Rattus norvegicus: one gene and its partners. The protein of the gene in region 1 purifies or fractionates together with the protein of each later gene. This does not show direct contact. Links are inferred from orthologs where the notes say so. Each region holds a gene or a part of one and is shown in the gene's direction. Other genes may lie near its edges. The genes, in order: Kat8, Kansl1, Phf20, Msl3, Wdr5 and Phf20l1.

Evidence for each region.
Region 2: the proteins of Kat8 (region 1) and Kansl1 purify together in Homo sapiens (affinity purification with western blotting; 4 studies listed by BioGRID and IntAct, with this or other methods). This does not show direct contact. The link is inferred for Rattus norvegicus from reciprocal best matches to the Homo sapiens genes KAT8 and KANSL1.
Region 3: the proteins of Kat8 (region 1) and Phf20 purify together in Homo sapiens (affinity purification with mass spectrometry; 3 studies listed by BioGRID and IntAct, counting the BioPlex papers as one, with this or other methods). This does not show direct contact. The link is inferred for Rattus norvegicus from reciprocal best matches to the Homo sapiens genes KAT8 and PHF20.
Region 4: the proteins of Kat8 (region 1) and Msl3 purify together in Homo sapiens (affinity purification with mass spectrometry; 4 studies listed by BioGRID and IntAct, with this or other methods). This does not show direct contact. The link is inferred for Rattus norvegicus from reciprocal best matches to the Homo sapiens genes KAT8 and MSL3.
Region 5: the proteins of Kat8 (region 1) and Wdr5 purify together in Homo sapiens (affinity purification with mass spectrometry; 5 studies listed by BioGRID and IntAct, with this or other methods). This does not show direct contact. The link is inferred for Rattus norvegicus from reciprocal best matches to the Homo sapiens genes KAT8 and WDR5.
Region 6: the proteins of Kat8 (region 1) and Phf20l1 purify together in Homo sapiens (affinity purification with mass spectrometry; 3 studies listed by BioGRID and IntAct, with this or other methods). This does not show direct contact. The link is inferred for Rattus norvegicus from reciprocal best matches to the Homo sapiens genes KAT8 and PHF20L1.

The regions. Positions count from the first base shown.
Region 1 is NC_086019.1:191,953,420-191,957,626, forward strand, and holds the start of Kat8 (histone acetyltransferase KAT8), read left to right. Parts: upstream 1-1,407; 5' UTR 1,408-1,412; coding exon 1,413-1,623; intron 1,624-1,701; exon of another isoform or gene 1,702-1,838; intron 1,839-3,504; coding exon 3,505-3,579; intron 3,580-3,655; coding exon 3,656-3,831; intron 3,832-4,207.
Region 2 is NC_086028.1:89,865,821-89,869,989, reverse strand, and holds the start of Kansl1 (KAT8 regulatory NSL complex subunit 1), read left to right. Parts: upstream 1-1,369; 5' UTR 1,370-1,395; intron 1,396-2,570; exon of another isoform or gene 2,571-3,080; 5' UTR 3,081-3,195; intron 3,196-4,169. UniProt on the Homo sapiens protein: Non-catalytic component of the NSL histone acetyltransferase complex, a multiprotein complex that mediates histone H4 acetylation at 'Lys-5'- and 'Lys-8' (H4K5ac and H4K8ac) at transcription start sites and promotes transcription initiation.
Region 3 is NC_086021.1:165,260,837-165,264,336, forward strand, and holds part of Phf20 (PHD finger protein 20), read left to right. Parts: intron 1-86; coding exon 87-265; intron 266-2,694; coding exon 2,695-2,794; intron 2,795-3,500. UniProt on the Homo sapiens protein: Methyllysine-binding protein, component of the MOF histone acetyltransferase protein complex.
Region 4 is NC_086039.1:29,216,964-29,220,463, forward strand, and holds part of Msl3 (male-specific lethal 3 homolog), read left to right. Parts: intron 1-415; coding exon 416-574; intron 575-1,279; exon of another isoform or gene 1,280-1,393; intron 1,394-2,469; coding exon 2,470-2,732; intron 2,733-3,500. UniProt on the Homo sapiens protein: Non-catalytic component of the MSL histone acetyltransferase complex, a multiprotein complex that mediates the majority of histone H4 acetylation at 'Lys-16' (H4K16ac), an epigenetic mark that prevents chromatin compaction.
Region 5 is NC_086021.1:31,234,311-31,238,545, forward strand, and holds the start of Wdr5 (WD repeat-containing protein 5), read left to right. Parts: upstream 1-1,435; 5' UTR 1,436-1,716; intron 1,717-4,235.
Region 6 is NC_086025.1:100,254,139-100,257,638, forward strand, and holds part of Phf20l1 (PHD finger protein 20-like protein 1), read left to right. Parts: intron 1-29; coding exon 30-218; intron 219-450; coding exon 451-660; intron 661-3,500.

The DNA.
Region 1 (4,207 bases):
CTATTTTTCAATACGAGTATAAAGTTCTTCCAGCAAATGCTTATTCTTTTCATCGATTAGTTTGCCTGTGATGCAGTTCCTAAAAGTAATATGCACTGGGCAGGCTTCTAATGGTGTTAGTGCCCCAGTACAATAATTTACCTGATTATTGGTGGTGGTGGCGGGGTTGGTAGAAAGGTGAAGTTAAACAGCAAATTGGGGGGGGGGGGGGTTGGGGATTTAGCTCAGTGGTAGAGCGCTTGCCTAGCAAGCACAAGGCCCTGGGTTCGCTCCTCAGCTCCGGAAAAACAAAAAACAAACAAAACAAACAAAAAACCCCCAACAAATTGGAGTGTGTCACTCTAATTAATCTACCAGTAAGTTTACCTTGGATGTTATATAGTTTATATAAATCTATGGCTTAACCATGTGTATATATTGTCTAACCTTTACCGAATCTCAGGAAATTGGTCTACTGTACTCAAGAGAAGGGTCACTAAAGATTCTCCAGGCACTGCCAAGATCCATGTTCAATCCCTCCCTGGCTGGAGATGTTCAGCGGTAGTGTTTCCCTAGCTTAATGAAGCTACGGGTGCAATCCATAGCAGTGTGAACATGGTATGGTGACATCCTAACCTCAACATTTGGAAGGTGGAGGTTAGATGAGCACTCAAGGTTCTCCCTGGCCACACTCGGGTTTGAGTTCTTCAGGGGCTACATGAAATTCTTGAGAAAAAAGTTTATTTTGAAGGTAGTTTATTTGGCACACCTGTTCTTTCCCTGTCTCAACTGGTTTTTGTTCTCACCCTAAATGAGAGACGCAGAATAGGTAGCATGTATGTATGAATCTCTGGGTTTTGGCTCCAAGCATCCCATAAAACTTGATACTTGTACTTGAGTACAACTGTAATTCCCAGAAAACTGCCACAAATTCAATGAATTTCAGGGTATCCATTGAAGAGAGCCTTTCCCAAAAAAAAAAAAAAAAAAAAAAAGGAAAAGGCAATACATGGTAGTGCTCGCCTTTAATCCCAGCATTTGGGAACCTAAAGCGGGAGAAGCTAGGTCAGCAAGTTTGTAGGCAGTCTGGACTACGTCACAACAAACTACAAAAAGCGGATTGAGACATGACGAGGCGGTGCACTTTTGAGGACTCAAAAGGCAGAGGTCGGTGGATCTCGAGGCCAGTATGGTCTACATAGCGAGTTCCAAGTCAGTTAAGACTATATAATTAGACCATGTCTTCAAAAAGAAAAAGAAATCAGATTGGGCCAATTTCTAGCAACAACAGCCCCACCGAGTACGCACTACTAAACAAAACCTTGCCACGTCACAACCTCCCCACCTCCAACACTCAAACTATGCCCGCCCCCACTGATCCGGAACTAAAAACGTCTCTCTGCCTGATCGCCAGAATCACTTCCGGCACTGCAATGGCGGCACAGGGAGCAACAGCCGCTGTTGCTGCAACAACTTCAGGAATTGTAGGGGAGGGAGAGCCCGGTCCGGGGGAAAATACATCGGTCGAGGGGCCTGCCCGATCCCCGGGCCGGGTCTCTCCGCCGACTCCGGCGCGTGGCGAACCAGAAGTCACCGTGGAGATCGGAGAAACGTACCTGTGCCGGCGGCCCGACAGCACCTGGCGTGAGGGCGGGGTCCAGGGCCTAGAGGCGGGGTTTAGGGATAGGGCAGGGCCTAGGAATGGGTGCTCCATGGGGCGGAGTTGGGGGGGTTGGGAGTCTTGGGACGAGGGTGGTGATTCAGGTAAGAATATGGAATTCCGGGTGCTGAGGAACCTGCTCTGTAACGGGAGGCTGGAGTCAGAGATTATGCTTGTCTCCTGTAAAGCCATCAAAAAGGTGAACACAGCATTAGCGTATGAACACTCATTCTTGCCCGATTTCAGGCTTCATGTCTTATGCCATGTTTGTTTCTTCGTTGGTGTTTTGTTGGTGGTGTTTATCTTTACATTTCTCTTGTCCACTGCATCGCCAGCAAAGAGCACAGCCCGGTTCATAAAAACACGTGTCCCTTTTACGTATGCTCCTCTTCTTTCCCTCTTCAAAATAAACCACAAGCTATTGTCTTCAAAATAAACTCCAGGGGTTGGGGATTTAGCTCAGTGGTAGAGCACTTGCCTGGGAAGCGCAAGGCCCTGGGTTCGGTCCCCAGCTCCGAAAAAAAGAACCAGAAAAAAAAGTAAATAAACTCCAAGCTCAGATGGCTCAGGAGGTAAAGGTATTTGTCACCAAGTCTGATGATTTGACAATGATTCTTTTTTTTTTTAAGTTTTATTTATTATATATGAGTACACTGTAGCTGTCTTCAGACACACCAGAAGAGGGCATCAGATCTCATTACAGATGGTTGTGAGCCACCATATGGTTGCTGGGATTTGAACTCAGGACCTCAGGAGAACAGTTGATGCTCTTAACCACTGAGCCATCTCTCCAGCCCGAGGCAATGATTCTTACTGGTTGTTCTCGGACATTCATATAAGAGTATCCCCTACTTCCTAGTAAGATAAATGCATGTGATTTAAAAGATAGAATAAATGTTAGTCATGGTAGCATACACCTTTAATCCCAGCCCTGGAAAGGCTCCGTTGGAGGCCATCCTGGTCTGTATAGCAAGTTTCAGAAGAGTCAGGACTACGTAGAGAGACCTTGTCTCAAAAACATAATTAAACTCCTTAAACTTTGATTCATGCCTCAGACCTTTCCAGTTTCTAGGCCCTTCTAGCAAGGGCTTTTGCCAGACCAGGCCTTGCTCTGCTCTCCAAAGACTGCCTTTCTGTGCCTTTTATCACTTGTGCTTGCTGTCACTACCTTTCTCAGGTTTTCCTGGCTAGCTCTTACTCATTTCTTAACTTTATCTCCTGTGGTGATCCCATTCTTGACCCCTTCAGACAAAGTTAATTGCTCGTATGTTCTGGCACTTTTTTTTTTCTCATACCTCAGCCATACTGTTAACATTATCTGCCTTTCTCTGTCCGTGGGGAAACGCTAGAGAGCAAGATCTCTTGTGATTCATTACTGTGTGTGCTTTCTGTGTCCAGCAGTACATAGCAGAGCGCTGGACAATCATTGTTTTCCAGACAGCTCTGCTCCACATCTGTCACTATGCTGAACACTGTAAACTACCTTACCCTTTTAGGTAGATACTATTCTTACTTTCCAGATGAAGGAACTAAGGTTCAGAAAGTCAAATGACAGGGTTACAGTCATTTAGGGAATGTGAAGGAAGAATTATATATAAGCTTAAATCGTTTAATCCCCAGCCAGCTCTCTTGTCCCCCAAAGAACTGAATGACCATATAAAATGAGCACTGACTTTGGAGGTAGCCTTAAACACATCTAACAACCAGGTTCTCTCAGTTTTCAAATCTCTGGTCCTCTGTAAACACCACCGTCACCCCCCAAGAAAAAGTCCTAACCTGGCTCACTGTACAGGTTAAATGGCAGATGTGGACAGATTGTTCTGGAAATTGCCCCTCAAATCCCTCTCCCCTCTTTTTCTTGACAGATTCAGCAGAAGTGATCCAGTCTCGAGTGAATGACCAAGAGGGCCGAGAAGAATTCTATGTTCATTATGTGGGCTGTGAGTGCTTGGGGCCATGGGACCTGGGTGGAAGGAGGAAGGTAGCACGTCAGTCCCTCATGGTCTGTCTTAACAGTTAACAGGCGACTGGACGAATGGGTGGACAAGAACCGACTTGCTCTGACTAAGACAGTGAAGGATGCCGTGCAGAAGAATTCTGAGAAGTACCTGAGTGAGCTGGCGGAGCAGCCTGAGCGCAAGATCACTCGAAACCAAAAACGAAAGCATGATGAGATCAACCATGTACAGAAGGTCCTGGCCCCTTCCCTTCTCCAGGGCCCAGGAGTTCTCTCGGGTCCCTGTAGCAACAAAGCCATAGCAACTCCCACGTAAAATCTGGTAGAGTACTAGGGTGTTTGTCCCTGTTTATTCTTCATATATACAAAACCCAGCTTATAGAGAGAAGAGGGTTGCTCTCTCACAATAAGAAATGGTACAGCTAAGACTGGACCTCAAACTTGAAGTCCAAAGGGAAGGAAAAGAAACCAAATCACATCATTTACTTTCTTATCCAGCACAATGCTGAGTATTCTAAGATCTCATCAAATCCTCCTTGACGTTTTAGCACCACAGGGACAATTACTTCTTTTTGTTTATGAGGAAGTAGGCTCAGAGAAGTTAACATGGG
Region 2 (4,169 bases), on another chromosome or scaffold:
AGTACAAGCAGCGTTCTTGGGGCTTCTCTGTAGCCCAGATGATCCTCTGCAGTGAATCTGGTCTGTGTCCTCAGGTTTCCTAAATGCATTTGATACGATGAAAAAAATTCTGGGAGAATCCTTATGTGTCAATAAGACTGAAAAAGTTAAGATTTCTGGCTTATGGGTATTTTCTTTTTAGTTCTTACTGTCACATGTCTACTATGGCCTAAAAACAGTTCTCTAAGTGTAGCCTCAAGACCTAAGGATCTCTCATAGTTTTAGTATTCTTGCTCCTCTGCCTTCGTGCTGTTTTGCCATTATTTTAGCTGGTTTTTTGTTTTGTTTTGTTTTGTTTTCCGATTTGAGAAAGTTGATCGTTCAGTATGTTGACTCCTCATTTGTGGATTGTTTAGTCTCCCCAGTGTTTTGGAATTCCTCAGAACACACTTATTACTGGTATTTAAAACAAACTAAAAGGTAAGACTCCCCAGTACATGTGAATGCTGTCCTGGTTTTCTTAGATAACCATTTTGTTTCAAAATATTTGGATTCAAAATATTTTTTCTTTTCTTTCTTTTTTTTTTTTTTTTGAAATAGTCTCTTTGTAGCCCAGGCTGGCTTTTGCACTTAATAATTTTCTGCATGAGTTTCTTGTGCTATAATCACAAGCATATGGATCATGCTATGATAATTAATATTATTTTAGCTGTAATGTTTGTGGATGGCACAAAAATCAGTATCTACAAAGGATGTGCCTGAGAGATTAAGTATTCCTCTTCCTTGGTCTGCTGAGAACTCCATGTCATCCAGGAGGCAACCACTGTTAACACCTCTGAGAGTGATTTTTGACTCAGCTTTCTCTCAATTCCTTCCTGGTCTGTGAGATGTATGGCCTTTCCAGGCCCTCAGGACCTCAAATCTGGTTGACTTTAAAAACAAACATTTATATATGTGTATATTTTATGTACATATACAAAATCTCTCCCTATGGCCTTCCGGGCCGGGTTCTCATCACATCGCTTCCTGGATGAAGAACCTGGAAGGGTGAGGTGAGGGGCAGGGGTTGGGGGTGACAGAGAAGGGGACCTGAGGGACTGAGGCCAGGGGTTGAGTGGTGGACTGCTGTGAAGCACTGTAGGGATTCCTATTCTTATTTCTCCCACCAGGCCGCCCTCCAGCTCCGTCCAGCTCAAGCCTCTCCTTTCCTAGGGCCGAGACAGAGACAGAGAGATACAGAGACAGAGACGCCAAGGCACCAGCATCTCTCCCCCCCTCCCCATCCCGCCCCATAGCTCTGACGGACGTCCACTCTTAGCCAATGGTGCTCGCGAATTGCCCTCGGCGGGCCAATGGGAGACAGAGGAGGGCGGAAGCTTGCCCGCCCCCCACTCTAGGCTTGGTTGAGCCGTGCAGGTAGGTCTGGGGCCGGGGGAGCTGCCGTTGGCACTGCTGCCCCGGGGGGTGGGGGCGCGGCGGGTCGGGGTGATGGTGGTGCAGGGTGGCGTGTCTGGGCCGGAGGACGCCGTGGGGGGCGCCGTCGCGGGGCGGCGGGAGGTTGAGGGGTCGCGGGAGCCGGCGCCGCGGAGGGCCCTGAAGGCGGCCGGTCTGAGGACGCGGGGACGCGTGTGTGGGGCGCGGGGACCCTCGGCCGGCGCCCACCCTCAAGGCCTCGGCCTCCGGCCGTGGACCGCGGCGTGCCGGGCGACGAGTGGCCACAGGGCCCGGGAGGGGGGCACCGAGCACAGCCGGGGGCGCCAGGCCGAGCGAGGTGGGACGGACCGTGGCAGGACGGGAAGCGGCATCCCGCGGGCCGCCCCCTCCTGAGGCGAGTCGGTCAACAGCCACGGGCCCCGGGCCGCGAGCCCCAGCCACGGCCGCCCCCCTCCTAACAATGGGGACCGGGCCGGAGGAGTCGTGGGCCGCGGGGGATGGGAGAGGCTCCCGGACGAGGGTCCGAGGCGGGGGAGGGGCGCGGACTCGAGCTCGCTGGGATCTCGGCCCCGCGGTCCTGTAGAGCTGGGGTCCTGTAGAGCTGGGGTCGCGTCGCGGGGTAGTGTGTGGGGGTGCCCAGGCTCGCCTGAGAGTCGGGTCAAGAGTCAAACTCCCGTCCCCACCCCCCAAAATCCAATGAGCGCTAGGCAAAGTGATGCCAAGTGTCCCTAACCGAAGTGACAAACGTGGAGACAGCAAACCCACTCCAGAGCTTTATTTTTAAAACGGGGACATCGACTCTGATTTTAAGAAATTATTTTTAAAGAGGTGAGTGTGTTATTTTTGTGTTCCTACTCGGGCAAGCCTCCATTTTAAGTGAAGCAGTAACTGGTTAAGCTGGAATTTTCATTCAGGCCTAGGACATAGGCTCCTAGAAGGAGTCATTTAGTCCATTCTTCTGAGTCCCTGCAAACTTAACACCCTCCATCTTCAAAATTAATTCCTCTGGTCTGCTTTTAAAAATCTCTGGAAAAGAATGGTCTTTTCTTTTTTGCTTGTACTTCGGTGAGGAATAGATGCTACTTACTTTTTTAATGTAGTTTCAGCTCTGAAACAATTTTAAGAAAAGTTAAAAACTGGAATTGTCAGAAGTTTTTTTTTTTTTGTTTGTTTACCAAATAAAATAGTTGTACATCTTTTTAGATAGTTAATAAATTATTTTCAGTAGTGTTTATGAAATACTCTGGTAGTAATAACTTTTCCTTTAGGATTTTAGTTTTCTGAACCTTTGATAAGTAATTTTCAGTTACTTAAGATTTACGTTGTTCTTTGATATAAAATATATTTCTACACACACACACAGAGATAAACATATGCCCTTTACAAAGGGAATTTTATATTGTATCTTTTTCCTTCTTGGGGGGTTTTGAGACCATCTCAATAAGTAGCTCTCACCTGGCCCAGAACTCACTGTGTCTACCAGGCTGGTGTTGAACTGGTAGATAACAGCCTGCTTCAGTCTCCTCTGAGTGCTAGGACTAAAGTGCACCACGCCCAGCACTTGTACACTTTTTAAGCAACTAGTATTGAATGCCTTTCCCAGATAGATTAAGCTATTTACATATGCTATTTTTTCCATCTAAGTGAAAAAAATTCTTCCTTTTCAGATCTCCTTAATTCCTTATCCGTGGTAACTGGGGAATTACTTAGTCTCTTCCTGCTTATTTCTGAGTTGTCTGAACTATTCCTGACACTATGTATGCTATTTGGATGCCTCTTAAGGTAAGATATATTTGCTTTTCGTTATTTTTATTTTGTTATTTCATATATGTATTTTAGAATCAAGAATACTTGTTCCCGTGTGTTTTGAGTCAGGGTTTCAGAGTCCAGGCTGCTCTGGAACTTTGTAGTTTGCTGAGCATGGCCTTAACTTCATGTATTTGCTGCCTCTACGTTCCAAATGCTAGGATTATAGGTGTTTGCTACTAGGTCTAGATCTACCTAGAATGTTCTTGAACCTGTGGCTCTTCAGGATACCCATCCTTAGAACCATTAGGTTCTTAGGATTTGTTATTGCTGTTCTTGATTGCTGCTGTTCAGACATTAGTGAAGTTCTTAAATTAACTCTATAAGGATGGGTTCCAGTTTTTACTTATTATAGCTTACATCTTGTGAAATTATGTTCCACCTGGTAGATGTGTTGCCAATTCAGACCTTGAGGTCCATTTTCAAACTGGTACTTCAGAGTCATATGAACTTGGGCGTGTCCCACTTTTGCAAATCAGTAGCTGATTCATGTGTTACAAAAGATGTGTCATTAACCATTTGATTGCTCTGACATTTCACGCAGTATATGTGTTTATTCTTCAAATGCCCTGCTGCTCCTCAGGCCAATGTGTGAGTCCTTACACTTTTTTTTCAACAGGTGGCCATTGTGCCCTTTCCTTTTCCAGGGTGTGCAAGATACGCCTCATTTGGGCAATGTGGACATGTGACCATTTGATAAAAAGATAGTTCTTTAAGTCTCTTGTGGCTCTTTCTGTTCAGAGATGGCAAAAGAACTCTCTAGTAGGACTGAGCTGTGAAAAGTGAGGAGATGAGAGAAAGGACCAAGGCAAGATCAACAGTGAAGTCTGTCAGCCTCTCCTTCCCTGATAGTTAGATACTGGTGTAGCTGGGATTCCAGCATAGTGCAGTGGGAGAGCCCTAGTGCAGTCTGAATAACCTAAACATTTGGACTTTTGGGAAATCTTTAG
Region 3 (3,500 bases), on another chromosome or scaffold:
CATGGAAGTCCCTGGACAAGTGGGGATGAAACACAATGTTACGTGTGAGTTTAGAGCACTGACTGTTGGCTTCCCTTTCCTTCCAGAGGAGGATAATTTGAGCGAGTCCTCTTCCGAGAGCTTTCTTTGGAGTGATGAGGAATACGGTCAAGATGTTGATGTGACCACCAACCCAGATGAGGAGCTTGAAGGCGACGACCGCTATGACTTTGAGGTGGTCCGATGCATCTGTGGAGTGCAGGAGGAAAATGACTTTATGATTCAGGCAAGTAGAGTTTCCAGAACACAGGTTAGAGGAAGACATGAGTGAGTCATGTGAGCAGTTCGCACAGCATTAGACTGAGCTTGCTTTTGGGTTCAGATTTCTGGGAATTCTAGGTTGCTGAAAATAACCCATTATAGAATGAGAAGTCATTGAGGCCAAAGGGAAAGCCTTGCCTGTGGTCTCACAGAGAGGAGTTGGACAACAGGGACTCAGACTGTAGAGTGGTAATTCAGTCTTCTTTATGGGCTCATCTTCTCTTTGAGATAAATTTCCCTGGTGTCCTGAGGGAAGAAATGGAGTCAGGTTTTATAATTTGTCTTCCTCTGTTATTTGGTGTGTGTGTATGTATGTGTGTGTGTATGTATGTGTGTGTATGTGAGCATGCATGTGTGCTGGCAGCAGGTGTTCCCAATGAAGGGATTTGGCAGCCTACCTACCATACATCTCTGCATAGGCTATATGTATTAGGAAGAGCAGGCTTTTTTGGCTTTTTGCTTTCCTTGTTTTATATGCATGATAACAAAATTTGAAGTTGACTTAAATTTGAAGTTGCATTTATGTCTTTTGTCCTTTTTTTTTTTTTTTAAGGGCAGAGTCTCTGTCTTAGTTACTTTTCTGTTGCTATGATAAAATATCCTCACAAAAGCAACTTAAGGGAGAAGTTACTGTAGCCCACAGTTCTAGATGGACATAGAATGGTGTGGTGGCAGGGGCATGAAGCCAGCTCCTCCTGTCTCAGTGTCGAGAAGAAGAGTGGAACTAATTCATACCTGCATGCCACACTTAGCTTACTTCTTTACTCTGGCAAGGTTTAGCATCCCCTGCCCAGGAATGGTACCACCTATAATGGGGGTCTCCCTCTCACGCTATCCAAAACAATCCTGAATAAACAGACTCATAAACTAACCTGATCTAGACAATCCCTAAATGAGAGACTCTTCACCGTGATTCTAGATTCAAGCTAATGAAACTAACCAGTCTCACTTGGCCCCATTTCTTCTCAAACATGCTGTATTTTCTGTTTTGTCTCCTAAATGCTGAGGTTACAGGCACAGGCTACCATGCTGTCTCTGCTTCCTGGGTGTAGATCTGTGTGGCTTCTTCTAGAACTTCAGACGCTTTGTTCTTTAAGCACCTTATGCATGCTTATTTTGGTGTGGAGTGAGGGCTGTGACTTCAGTTTACTGGCAGTGTGCTCACATTTTGAAATGTTGCTTGATTTACTGCCTTTCTCTGTACATTCGGGTCTCTTTCTGGATCCTCTCTTTTTCAGTGAAGCAGAGGCGGAAGAACACAACAATGCTGTGTGATTATTTTATGCCTTTGTAATAGTCTAATTCCCTGGCAGGGCTGGCCCCCTCCCTCTCATCTTTCCTCTCTGCATATATTTTCTGTCTACTAATTTTAGAGTCCTGCTTAGTTTCAGAGCTACCAACTTCCTTATTTTTGGGGGCCACAATGTTTTATAAGCCCAAGTAAAGTTAGTGTCTTCAAGGTAGTGATCCTTTCTGCTTCCTGACCCTGGCAGGTCTCCCAGGACCAGGAAAGAGGGGGTTGAGCGCAGGCTTTGCAGGAACTCTTGCACTTGGCTAAGTTCACGCTGTCTCATGTGCCATTAATCACCTGTGCAACCTTCAGCAAGTTTTAAGAATAAATGCAGAGAACTAGGGCGTGATTGCTCTAGGAGGCCAGAGGGACTTAGCTACCATCTGTTAATAATAGAAACTCAGTGTGAGGCTTTGTGCTGAGTTCATAGTGGGAGGATGTGCATATGACCCATGGATTCCTAACAGACAGCCTGTGGTGTGGGCAGGAACAGTATCGCATCTCCACTTGGGGAAACTGAGGCCTAGGGCTGAGACCTGGAACTGTGCCATGTAACACATAATGTATTCTAAGAGTTTGAACAGGTTTCATTAAGCCCCACAAAGTGATCATGAGGCTGAGCGGCAGGAATGGCAGCAATCAGTCTGAAGTCAGTACTATTCAACTGATTACATTTTTGCTCCATGTTTTGTTTTTGAGACAGGTTCTGAAGTATTCCAGGCTGGCTCTGGTCTCATTGTGTAACTGAGTCTGGCTGAGCCTATCCTCATGCCTCTGCCTTTCAGGTTCTGGGATCATAGACATATTCCACCACACTTGACCATCTAGATTCTCTTTATTGTGCTCTATTCTGTTCCAGAGACAATAGTCATACGGACACTTCTGAAATGGCTCTTGGGACTGAAGAACTAAGGACTCTTAACTTAATTTGTTCGTTATGCGTCACCCTCCATGTGATCAGTGGTGGCCTAGTTGGGTCATTGTGTAGCCATAGCTTTGTTGAGTAGAGGTCAGAAGGGAGCGCTCCCCCCATTTCCTTTCACCCACACTCCAGGTCAGTGGGCTCTACTTTCTAAGTTCTGTTGCTTCTTTAATTCTCACAGTGTGAAGAATGCCAGTGCTGGCAGCACGGGGTCTGCATGGGATTACTGGAAGAAAATGTGCCCGAGAAATACACCTGCTACGTTTGCCAAGACCCTCCAGGTAGAGCTTTCTGGAGCTGGGTTGGGAGCAGTATGTAACCTCTTCCTTAGCACAGCAACTTTCCACACACCGTGCTTGTACTCTCGGAGAATCTTCGCTAATGACCAGGTGACTCTGCTCACCTTTGTTGCAAGCCCACGTGGTGGCCTGTCCTTCTGAACGTAGCAGTAAGGGATATGTGTGAAGATGCTTACCTAGCAGAAGGCCTGGTCTTGGAATGTAGTGGGAAACACATATGGTGTTGTTAACGAGAAGCACAAAGCTTGTAGGTCTGATCAAAACTGTCCACAGTGTTGAATGCTCCACGAATTCTCCTGTCATTCTTGCTCAGGGCCTTGCCAATCTTTTGTTCCAGTTTCAGTAGTGAGAGAGTTTCTTCCTTGAGAGCTGAGGATGAGTGTGTGGCTCTGTTGGTGGCATTGCAGGGATGTCCGAGGGCACGTGTTTGCCATTGCACTCACGAGTGACTCGAGTGAATGCATCGGGTTGGAGGGTGCTGTCTCCTGAGCCTTTGGAGCAGGAAGTGCTGCCGAGTCCCTGAGCTCATGCTTCCTGTCCTTTCCAAGGAGGCTTGTGATGGGCAGGGCCCAGGAATCACCCAGGTCATCTGTTATTTGACAGATGGGAAGCAGGGTCCAGCGAAGGGAGGGCCTGTCACCTGACTAGCTGGGGCAGGCAGTACTGTTGGAAGGGGCTTGGAGCCTTA
Region 4 (3,500 bases), on another chromosome or scaffold:
GATATGGATACATTTAAGGTATTAGCATACTGTCTGCTGTCTATATTATGGTCTATATTCCCCTATTTCTTTATTATTCTCATTGATATATTATGTTTATTCTTTTTATATATAAGTTGTTATCTAATGTTTTAAAAGTCTGCCCTCAGCTGGATAGCACCCACCTTTAATCCCAGCACTCAAGGAAGCAGAGGCAGATGAATCTCTGTGAGTTTGGCTTCACCCTAGTCTGCATAGAGAGGTCTATACCAGCCAGAGCTATATAGTAAGACCCTATCTCTAGAATAAAATAATAAAATAAGAATAAAGATAAGTCCGCTCTCTTTAAAATATATACCTTTCTCATGAAGTTTGAAAATTTTTATGACTTTACCTGGTCTCTAGTCTCTAATCATTTCTTTCTCAATCTTCCTAGTGTTGACCTTTGTAAGGAGATGGTGGATGGATTACGAATAACTTTTGATTATACTCTCCCATTGGTTTTGCTTTATCCATATGAACAAACTCAATATAAAAGGGTGACATCGTCAAAATTCTTTCTTCCTATTAAGGAAAGTACCACGACAACTAATAGGTAAGTTAACACTGAGCCGACTCGCTTCTTTGTGGAAGTGTTTGATCTGCTGACATGGTGGCCTGAATGTCTAAAGGAAAGGAAACATTGTAGGTTGTCCTTACTGGTGCCTCCCCCAACACCCCCACGTCTCCTGCCCTCATTGGCTAGATCATCATTCACATTCTCATGGTTGTGAAAGGTTTTCCCCCAAGTAAGCATTCCAGTGTAGCCAGGCATGATGACACGTGCCATTCTAGCATCAAAGAGGCTGAGGAAGGAGGACTGCTGTGAATTTGAGGCCAGGTGGTCTCCTGAGAGAGTTCTAGTCTAGCCATGACTACTTAGCAAGAGAAGGGTAGGTGGGCAGAAGATTCCTAAGTCAATACAATGTTATCAATGGATTCCGAGCAGCTGTCCCACCTTTCAGAAGACAGTAAAGAGTTACCAGGCAACATGGGCCAGAAGGGTAGAAAGTGGAAGTACAGCTGACATCCATTGCTTAATGTTATGTGATCCGGGTCAGCTTCCTCTGAGCCTCTCCCCTTTATATCCATAGTATGCAATGAACGGCTGGCTATCTCCCTGGTGGGGTAGCAATTCATGATGTCATAAACAAGGGGTCAGTAACCTTTGGCTCTCAGTATAGGTTAGTTCCCTACTTAGCTTTTATTACTGCCTTGCTTCCTCCTGTGCCTATGCATGCTTTGTTCTCTGTTCTGGCAGGGGCTGCAAGGATGGATCCATGCTCACCTAAAGTCTTTTCCCTTAATTTTACTAAGGCATTCGGCCATGTCCTCTCTCTTCTGTTCCGGAATGGTGTGCATCAAGTCTCCCTTGGTGAGGGAATGAGTGTAACTGGGCTAGTTACAGGAACATGCGCTACTTACAGGTAGCCACACTGCTGAAGAAGAGCTGGCAGGCATTAACGATTTAAGTGTACTCATAAGGGGGTGTGGCTCTCATGTGTCTTAGGAGCCCTGCCACTTTTCACAGGCAATGTTAGTGGTTATGAGGATCTTATGTGGGTCATCACAGCTGCTCCCAATCCAAGATGTCAGTGGTCATATCATGGCCAGAGGACCAAGTTTTCCAGCATTAATAGCAGCATCCCTCTATGTTAAACCAGCATCTGCTCGTATCTACTGCTCTTTCACTAGACTCTACCTCCTTTGTCACAAATAACTGTCTGTGCCCTGCATTAGCTGCCTTCCTTCTTCCTCTCCTTTTCATGGTTCTCTGCCTCTTTACCATCTCTTTGACAGCTTCTCTCTCTCCTCCCTTCTCCGTGTCACTTTCGCCCCAGGTAAGAGGTCAGCAAGACTCACTGGGCACTTGTGTCAAAGTCCCCATGAATGGCTTGCTTCATACTTGCTGATTCCCAGAGTCTGGCATAGACTTAGACATACTTGTGCCATTCTCAAATCCTGGCAGGTTTTACATTTTGAAGACATCGTGTGGTTGTCTTTTTCCCTAGACCAGAGAGTTTCTCTGTCCTGGGAGCCTGTCCAGTGTGGCATTGAACACTTAGCAGTGTGTCTGGTCTCTATCCACTAGGGAACAGCATATCTGCCTTCAGTTGTAACAGGCCATCACCAGGCTGGCACTATAGACAGCAAACATTAGCAACTGCTTTCTGGGATGGGGCCAAATTCTGCCTTTCCTCTTAGAGACCTTGTTCCGAAACATATAGAAGAGGATATTTCAGTCTCTGTCTGAAAGTAGCATGCTTTGCAAAGATATGGTAACCTCATATATTTATCGACTGCTTAAGAAAATGTGTGTTTGCATATATTTGGAGATACCCGTGAGTCACCTCCTCCCTTCCAAGTTGATTGGTGGACCTGACTTTAGGTGGCTTTGCAGAAGCCCTCAGATCTTTAGAGGCTGCCAGTGACACTTTCTTTCCTGCCCAGGAGTCAGGAGGAGCTGTCTCCTAGCCCACCTTTGTTGAATCCATCCACACCACAGTCTACAGAGAGTCAGCCACCTACTGGTGAACCAGCCACCCCCAAGAGGCGCAAAGCAGAGCCAGAGGCACTGCAGTCTCTCAGGAGGTCCACGCGGCACAGCACCAACTGTGACAGGCTGTCTGAAAGCAGCTCGTCACCTCAGCCGAAGCGCAGGCAACAGGACACATCCACCAGCATGCCGAAGCTGTTTCTGCACTTGGAAAAGAGTGAGTTTGTCCTAAGAGCCCCAGGCCAGGGAAAGGTGTTTTTTTCGTTTGTTGTTAGCCTCTCAAGTATGTATAAAGTGTGCGATTCTCCAGATCTCACACAGGTTGCTATAAAGCTACTTCCTTTGAAAAGGAAAACATCCACAGAAAGCTACTGGCTTGGGTGGTTCAGTGAGAACTAGGGAGGCCAGACTGGGCTCTGTGTTTAAGGTTGATTTGTTATCCTTCCTCTTTGCTACTTTTGTGAGCTGGTGTAGTTATAGGAATCCCATGTTTTCTATACTCATTCAAGATGAATTGTGCTAATAGATTGCTACATTTCCATTCCTGTTTTCAAAACTTTCCTTGAAGAATTCCGTTTGAATAAAATGTTCAAATGAGATTGCTGGTTTCGACGGAGTATGCTAGAAAATTCCCTATTTGAAGTGATTTTTAGTATAGTTAGAACTGTACAGCTGTCTTCACAATCAGTTCATATAGTCTCATCACAGAATGAAAGAAAGCTTTCCTACCTTCATCCGCCCTTCCCCACCTCCCTTGGAAACTACCAGTCTACTTGGCACTTTAGATTAGTCAGTTTGAGATATTTTATAGTAATGGAATAATGTTTCATGTATATACACAATGGATGAGGTGATAGAATGAGGTTTAATTAAGGCATAAAACACTTGTTAAAAACAAATTTGAAAGATGAAATATTTCCCTGACTCCCACTCCAGCCCCTGGTACATTTTTCTTGACATTATTTATTTAGGTAAAAATCACATG
Region 5 (4,235 bases), on another chromosome or scaffold:
TAAAATGGAGCTTCAGAGCCATATGGAAGCTCAATTGTAGTGGATGCTGCGGCTGCCTGGAATGTGAGCGATGGACACCTACACTAAAGAACAAACTGCCTGGTTCCAGATGCATGCATAGGCTGGGGAGGACTCGGAGCCCCTGTGTTAGTGACACTTGCCTTTCCTGTCCACAGTTTTGTTTGTCTTCTAAGTCAGGTAGCTCCTCTCTTGTTAGCATGCAAGCTCCCTTCTTTCCTGCCTTCCCTGGACACGCAGGGGAGCTTTTCCTGCGGCGATAGTTCCTAAGATCTTTTTCTGAGTGTGGGGGTGCACAGCAGAGTCTCTTTGTGGCCCAGCTTAGAAGAGAGGCAAGTATGTTCAATTTGAGCTGTGGTTTGCAGTGGCAGGAAGCCCCCGCCCTGCGGTAGGCAGGGGAGACCGCAGGCGCTCCGGACTTCCGGACCTCGTGGACGTCCACCAGTGGCACCAAGAGGGTTTCCTAGAGTCCAGGGCAGGCACAGGCCACGACAGGCAAGCTGCTATTAGCTTGGCGACATAGCCTGGAATTTAACAGGAAAGGCACATAAGCACATTTTTACCCATCTTTAACTGCAGAGAGTTCCGGTCTGCAGGCACTGAAAATTAGTGGCGGTCAAATAGGAAGCAAGAATCATAGGTGGGCCCTTTAAGGCGCTCCGTCTCCTCTAATTTTTCTGACCCTCGTCGCCGCCCGTTGCCCCGCCCCCTCGCGCACGCGCAATCCCTCCCGCCTCCCGCGCCGCGGCCGACTGGTCCACCAGATCGTCTGCTCTCGCGCGCAGGGCCAGCCGAGGCGACGCCAGAGCGCCCGGCCCCGCCGCCCCGGCCCCGGCAGGTAAGGGAGTGACCCGGTCCTGCGGGCGCGAGGGGGGCGGCGACCACGAGGGCCCACGGGCTTCGGGATCCACAGCGCCGCACGTGTTCCGTGGGCCTCCGGCCGGGCCCGGCGCCGCATTTGTGGCCGCGCCCCGACCCCGCCGCCCCTTGTGGCCGCCACGGCTCGCTACTTCCACTGCGGCCCCTGCTGCGCCCCTAGACCCGTAGCCCTGCGAGCTCCTCGTGGCTCACACCTCAGGCTGGCGTCCCTGGGAGTGGGGACACCCAGCTAGCATCTCTCAGGTTTCCTTGGCCACTTGGCGCTTTCGTGCTGCCACCACAACCTTCACCCGTGTCCTAGTGCAAGTTTCTACCTGACGAGGGCTGACTGGTCAAGTGGGTTTTGAGCACTGTCTGGGTCAGCCAGGCAGTTGAGAGTACAGTGGTGTGAAGCCAATGGTACTAGGACCTAGGGGTATCCAGTAGTCCAGAGAGGATGGGTTGGAGCTCTTTGTTGGGTTACCTACTGCACTCACCTGAGTGACTGGACCATTCTGTCTTCCCATACTTGTGTACTCAGTGTCTAAGGCGGAAACAAGGAATCTGCATTTGATTGGAGGGAGACTGATGGCTGCTGCCCTTCCATGATCACGTTCCCTGTAGTGTAAAGCTGCGGTTGCCAGTTAACTGCCTCCTTTGTGGGCCGTGGAGGCCAGCTCCAAACCACCTGCTGAGGATCCTGCTTAACACACCTCCCTCCCAGAGCTGTCCTCTTCAAGTCCTGCTTTCCGGTGACCTTAAAACAGAACACCTGAGTGCTCTCTGTCTTGGACTCTACCCAGTGGAATTGGAAATTGGTTTCCTTTGAGACGGTTTCAGGTTGGTGCTGGCTTCACATTTAACTATGAATTCCCGAACCTCCTGAATGCTGCGAGGTAGATTGGCTAATGCTAATGTTCTTTCTTTTCTTTTTCCTTTTTTTTTTTTTTTTTTTTTTTTTTTTGGTTGGTTGTTTGGGGCTGTGAACTTATTAGAGCTGGGATCAAAGTGTGGTGCACACCCAGTGTCTTCATATGTTAATATTTGGCTTCCTGAAAGAATCAGTTTATAAAGGGTGGGATGGGATGGGCAGGGTTGGGTATCCTCGTGCTTGTTTTGCAAGGCCATTCACCCGAGGCTAGGTGAATCTCTTTATATGCTAAAAGACACTGCTTAGTTCCTCGAGACTTCCTACCCCAGAGATCTGCCCTGCTCCCTTGGCCTTTTATTTCCCTGAAGCAGGGAGATGTGGTAGGACTTTCTATCTCATTACTTAACATCTTCTCAGCTCCTCTTGCTACCTGTATGATCCACAAACATGTTGGCTCTGGGAACTCATGGCCATATAGTTGCGTTAAGCAGCTTCAGGTCAGGCCTGGGAGTTGATTTATGCCTGTTACACCAACCATACTGCGGCTATTGAGGCAGGATTTTGAATACTGGTGCATAGCAAGACCCTGTCTCCAAAAAGCTAAAAACACCAAGCAGCTGGTATTTCCTGGGCACAAGAGCTTTGCTTTGTGGAGGGACCCAGGCAGGGGACCTACCCCTAGTTGGATCCTTGCACCTGGGCTTGAGCTACAGCAGAATTTGACCTTGGTGGAGCAGGCTACACCTGTGCCCTGTGTGGTGGGTGTTACTGTTCCTTCCTAGGATTGAAGACTGAGGCTTTGGTCTCTTTTGGTGTTGTCTCCTCTTAGTCTCCCGTGGGGTCTGTGTGAGGTGTCAGGTTTAGTCTCAAAGCTAGGCTGTGCATCGTGATTTCTCCTTACACTGATGGCTGAGGGATCATGATGGCCAGTGATGTTTGCATGTCTTAGGAGCGCTCCATTGGAGGAGCACTAACTCACTTCCCAGTCACGGGATGGCCTGTAAACTGTAGGAAGTTGTTGCAGTTGCACTGCTGAAGGGAGTAACTGCTTTCCCTCAGCTCTGCAGCTTCTTCTGGTGCAGTTTCTCTGATGTTCTTCCTGCTACTCCTCCTGGGAGGTTTCATATGGGGGCGGTGTCTACTTTGCTGTACTCTTTCTTGTAGCTCTTTTTATAGTACTCTGTGCAAGAGTCCTTGAGCTCTGTACGCTCTTAGCATTGTAGAAGGCAGTTTGCAGCCTGTGAGGTCAAAGGGAGCCGAGGTGGAGGCCACCAGGTACAGACAAGACTCCTGTGTTTCCTCAAATTCTTTGGGTGTATTTTAGAATTTGCCTGAGTTTCCAAACTTCTGCACAGAAGGTCTACTCTTGTCACTTGGTCTGTTGTTTCTGTTAGAAAGCCTTTTAAAAACTGTATCAAAAGGCCCTGGGTTCGGTCCCCAGCTCCGAAAGAATAGAAAAAAAAAAAAAACTGTATCAAGGAATCTTTGAAGCAGAGCTCACATTCCGGTACACATCTGTATACTGCAGTGGGAAGCCTTCTTGAAGCTTAAGTCTTAGGCTCACAGAAGGTTCAAGAGTAGACCATCCATCACACAGAGCACCTGAAGCTGCAGCCTCGGTACAGTTATCCCCAGCTTGGAGCAGTTTATTTGTTGTAGGGTTCAGTGCTGCGGTCATGTTCTCCTTTTTACCCATTTTCTTGGGAATATTTTTATTTTTATTTTGTTTGAGTACAGTGTAGCTGTCTTCAGACACACAGAAGAGGGCATCAGATCTCATTATAGATGTGGTTGCTGGGACTTGTACTCAGGACCTTTGGAAGAGCAGTCAGTGCTCTTAACTACTGAGCCATCCCTCCAGCCCTAGAGTCACTGTTTTTTTGTGGGGGGGTGAGGTGGTCTTATGCATGTTAGGTGAACACTCTTCTATGAACAGCTCAGTCCCAAGAACCTTTTTGTTGTTTTGAGACAGGATTTCTTCTGTGTAGCCCTGACTGTCCTGGAGTTCACGCTTTTTTTTTTTTTTTTTTTAATATTCCTTCCTCTCTTATCTTTTTATAAAACACAGCACAGAGTATGCCTTTTTTGTGCGTGTGTTTTATAAAAATAAGGAGAGAAGGAATATGTTTGGTGGAGGAGAGATATGGTGTGAGGGAATGGTGTGGGGGGAGGGGGTGCCTCTGCAGGCTCATGCGGAGACATTCCTTCCCCTGAGGGACCAGCCACACAACAGTCAACAGTATATTGTAGAGTTTATTCAGGGCATGGGAGGGGAGTTGAGAGGGTAGCAGAGACCGAGAAAGGCAGAGATAGAGTTGAGGGATGCCAGCCATGAGCACATGGAGAGAGAAGGGTGAGGGGAATGGGGAGAGAGGAGTAAGGAGGGAGAGCAAGAGAGTGGAGTTCACTCTTTAGACTAGGCTAGCTTCAAACTTGTAGATACACCTTCCTCTGCCTCCCGAGTACTGGAATTAAAGGTGTGTACCAC
Region 6 (3,500 bases), on another chromosome or scaffold:
CTTCGTGAACATTGAAGATCTTTTTCTAGGTTCTCCACAGCCTGTGAATCCCCCTAGACCTTGCAAGCATAGTGAGAGAAGAAGAAGATCTCAGCGCTTAGCCACCTTACCCATGCCTGATGATTCTCTAGAAAAGCTTTCTTCTTCCTCTTCAGCAACTGATGGGAAAGTATTCTCCATCAGTTCTCAGAATCAGCAAGAGTCTTCAGTACCAGAAGGTAATGTATATTGATTTCCTATAGAACCAAATAACTAACATCAATTTTTCAAATATTAAGTTCTCTTTAATGTCTCTTGGCTTACAAGCACTTTGTATATGCTACAGATAACCTATCTGGTGCCTTCTTTTTGTCAGGCACTGTATAAACACCAGTGATCTGCATTGATATGAACTGAACCAGTTTCTCTGTGTTAATATTATGGTTTTCTTTTCTTTTTAATTTTATGTAGTGCCTGCTATTGCATATGTGCCGCTCCAGAAGCTGGGACCCTGTCTCCCTCTTGATTTAAGTTGTGGTTCAGAAGTCACAGGAAGTCAAGCCCCAGATTCCTCTTACCCTGGTGGTGAATGTCCCAGGGAAGAAAAGGAGGAGACACCATTGTTTGCAAATCCCACCTCCAAAGTAGTGAGTGATGTAAAAGGAGCTGCAGCAGCTACAGGTAAGGGTGCTCTTGGTTAAGTCTTGCATAGACATTTTGATATTTAACTTCCCTCAAATTCATATAAAACCCCTCATGTAAGAACTTTTAGGTACCTTTTGTGTTTGGATGGAATTTCTTTGTTTTAAAAATTTGTTGTGTGATCATTGTGAGCATTCCCTAGACATATTTCTTGTCATTTTTTTCTTCATTCTTTTTTCTCCCTCTTTCTTTCGCTTTTTAAGAAAAATTTATTTATTTTATATCCCAATATGAGCCCCCCTCTACTACTGGTACTCCCTTACACAAATCCTCCCCCACTCCTCCCTCCCCTTCTCCTCTGAAAAGGGTGAGCCCTCCTCCTCCTCAGTGTACACACACACACACACACACAGACACACACATACACACACACACATCAAGTTATGTGATTAAAGATATGCACCCTCATGCCTGGGTTCTTTTGTTTGCTTTTTTAATGTGTGTGTAAAATGTTGTATTGCTGCATCTGGAGCTAGCAAATTCTAGCTACCCAGCTTGGTCAACCTAGCAAGTTTTAGGCCAATTAGAGCTATGTAGCAAGACCCTGTCTCAAAACAGGAAATAAATTATATGAAATATATACTTGTCTTTGCTACTAGAAATTATTAGAGTTAAATACAATTCCAGAAATTCTTATTCTTGAAGCAAGAAGATACTGTATAATATTATAATTTCATAAAAATACATGTACGTAGTATATTTTAATTATCTTCTTTCTAGTAAATTGCTAATTTGGAATTGGCTAGTGAGAGATTTAAGTCAAGTTAGATTAGGAGACAAATGTAAAGTAGCCAAATGCATTAACAATAATTATGTTTAACAACATCTTCCCCAAAGAAAGTGGCATTGGCTTCTTGGATGAAACCAAAATATAGCGTACTGTGTTCTGTCTGTGGTACCCACTGAAACAATGACAGCAATAGCTTAACTTGTGCCTTTAACTTGTTCTTTCTTTCAAAGTAGCAGTGTCAGCATTTGTACATGTAATGACCAATACTTTTATTTTACCTGTAAAGATTTAAATAGGTTTATATATAATAGTTCTTTCTTATTTAGAAATAAAAAATGCCCTCAACTGAAGACCTGTGGGTTTTGAGAGATTGCTTTTTATTTCTCAGATCTGATCCATTGTGTTTGGATATTCATCTAAACCTGATCTTAGAGTAATTCAGTTTATCTTTTTTGCACAAGATTCCTGAATTATCATTGACCTTTTCAGGAAGTTTTCCTGGTAAAGGTCTCACTTTTTAACAGCCTGGAAATCCTTACTGCACTGGATATATGAGAATGATCTTGATGTCATATTAACATAATACCTATTGGGAAAATGATTTTTCAATGTGTACATGAAGATATTTATATGTTTCTGAAAAGTACATGTTTGAATTGATTATAATAAGGCTGAAATACAGACTAGTATGTCTTAAATAATGTTATGCAGGGCTGAAGAAATGGCTTATTTGATTCCCAGCAACCACATGGCAGTTCACAACCATCTGTAACCCTACTCCCAGGGGATGCAGTGCCCTCTTCTGACTTCTTATGGGTGTAATACATATATGCAGGCAAATCACACACACACAGACACACACACACACAGAGTCTCTCTCTCTCTCTCCCTCCCTCCCTCCCTCCCTCCCTCCCTCCCTCCCTCCCTCCCTCTCGTATTGTATATTCTAAACATCAAAGCAGTATTTGTATACTAAAATCCTTTGATTTATCTTCTAAATCAGGGTGTTACCTTGGTTCTGTTTTGTTTTTGTTTTTGGCTGTTTTTTTTTTCCCCTTTAAATTCCTCGCAGATTTATAACTATGGCTATGGAGGTAATTCTTGGTTTTGTTTATGATGTTGAATTATACAAGGGGAAAGAGAAGGCACAACCATTGTCAGCTTAACATTAAGAGCACAGTGCTCAGCAATTTTTGAATGTTTTTGGTTTTGCTTTTAAGGAGAAAAGATACATTTTGGCTTAGAGTTCTGGGGATGCAGTCTACCATCACAGGAAAGTCAGAATGGAGGTAGCAAGTCAGCAAACAGATGAATGGCTGTTCCTGTTCTAGTCTGCCCATTTCTCCTTCTTCTTGAATCCAGGACCAAGCCCATGGTGCTGCCCACGACTAGGCTAGGACTTCCTACCTCAGTTAGTGCAGTCTAGATAATTGCTTTAAAGAAGAAAATGCATGTTTCAAAGTTAGCTACTGAAAACTGGTGTAACATAATCATGTAGAGTACACACACAGTATTTGAATGGGATAAAGTAAGTTTTTGATTCATTTCTATGACTTGTGAATTTTCCTTTTTAAGGAAAGTGGTGTAATTCATGTTCTGTTCTTTTATTTAAAACTGTATCCATTTGTTACACATTTATTGGACTTCTATGTGGTCTGCATGCTTTTTTCTCTTAGTGTATTTCTTTTGTTGCAGTAGTTCTGTTTTGTTTCCTTGAAAAAGAAGCTCACTATGTCCATAACCCACAGAGTATGGAATATGAGTAATGTACATCAGGCTGGCTTGGAAGTCTTGGCTTTCTTTTTTAGAGTACTGAGGTTGTAGACATGTACCATCATATCTGGCTTTCTTACTATTGTTACCTAACTGTTCTTCCCTATTTTGAAGTTACTTTGTGAAGTTCTCTCTGTTTCCTATGTTGATGTGTATGTTTTGTTTTTGTTTTTGTTCTTCCTTTTATACCAGTGCAAATGAGTATGAGTATACATGCATTTGGTCGGTATTTATACTGATTATCAAAATAAATTTCATCTCTATTTTAATATTTCTTTGCAAAGCATTATTTATAAGGACTATGTTAGCAGCATTT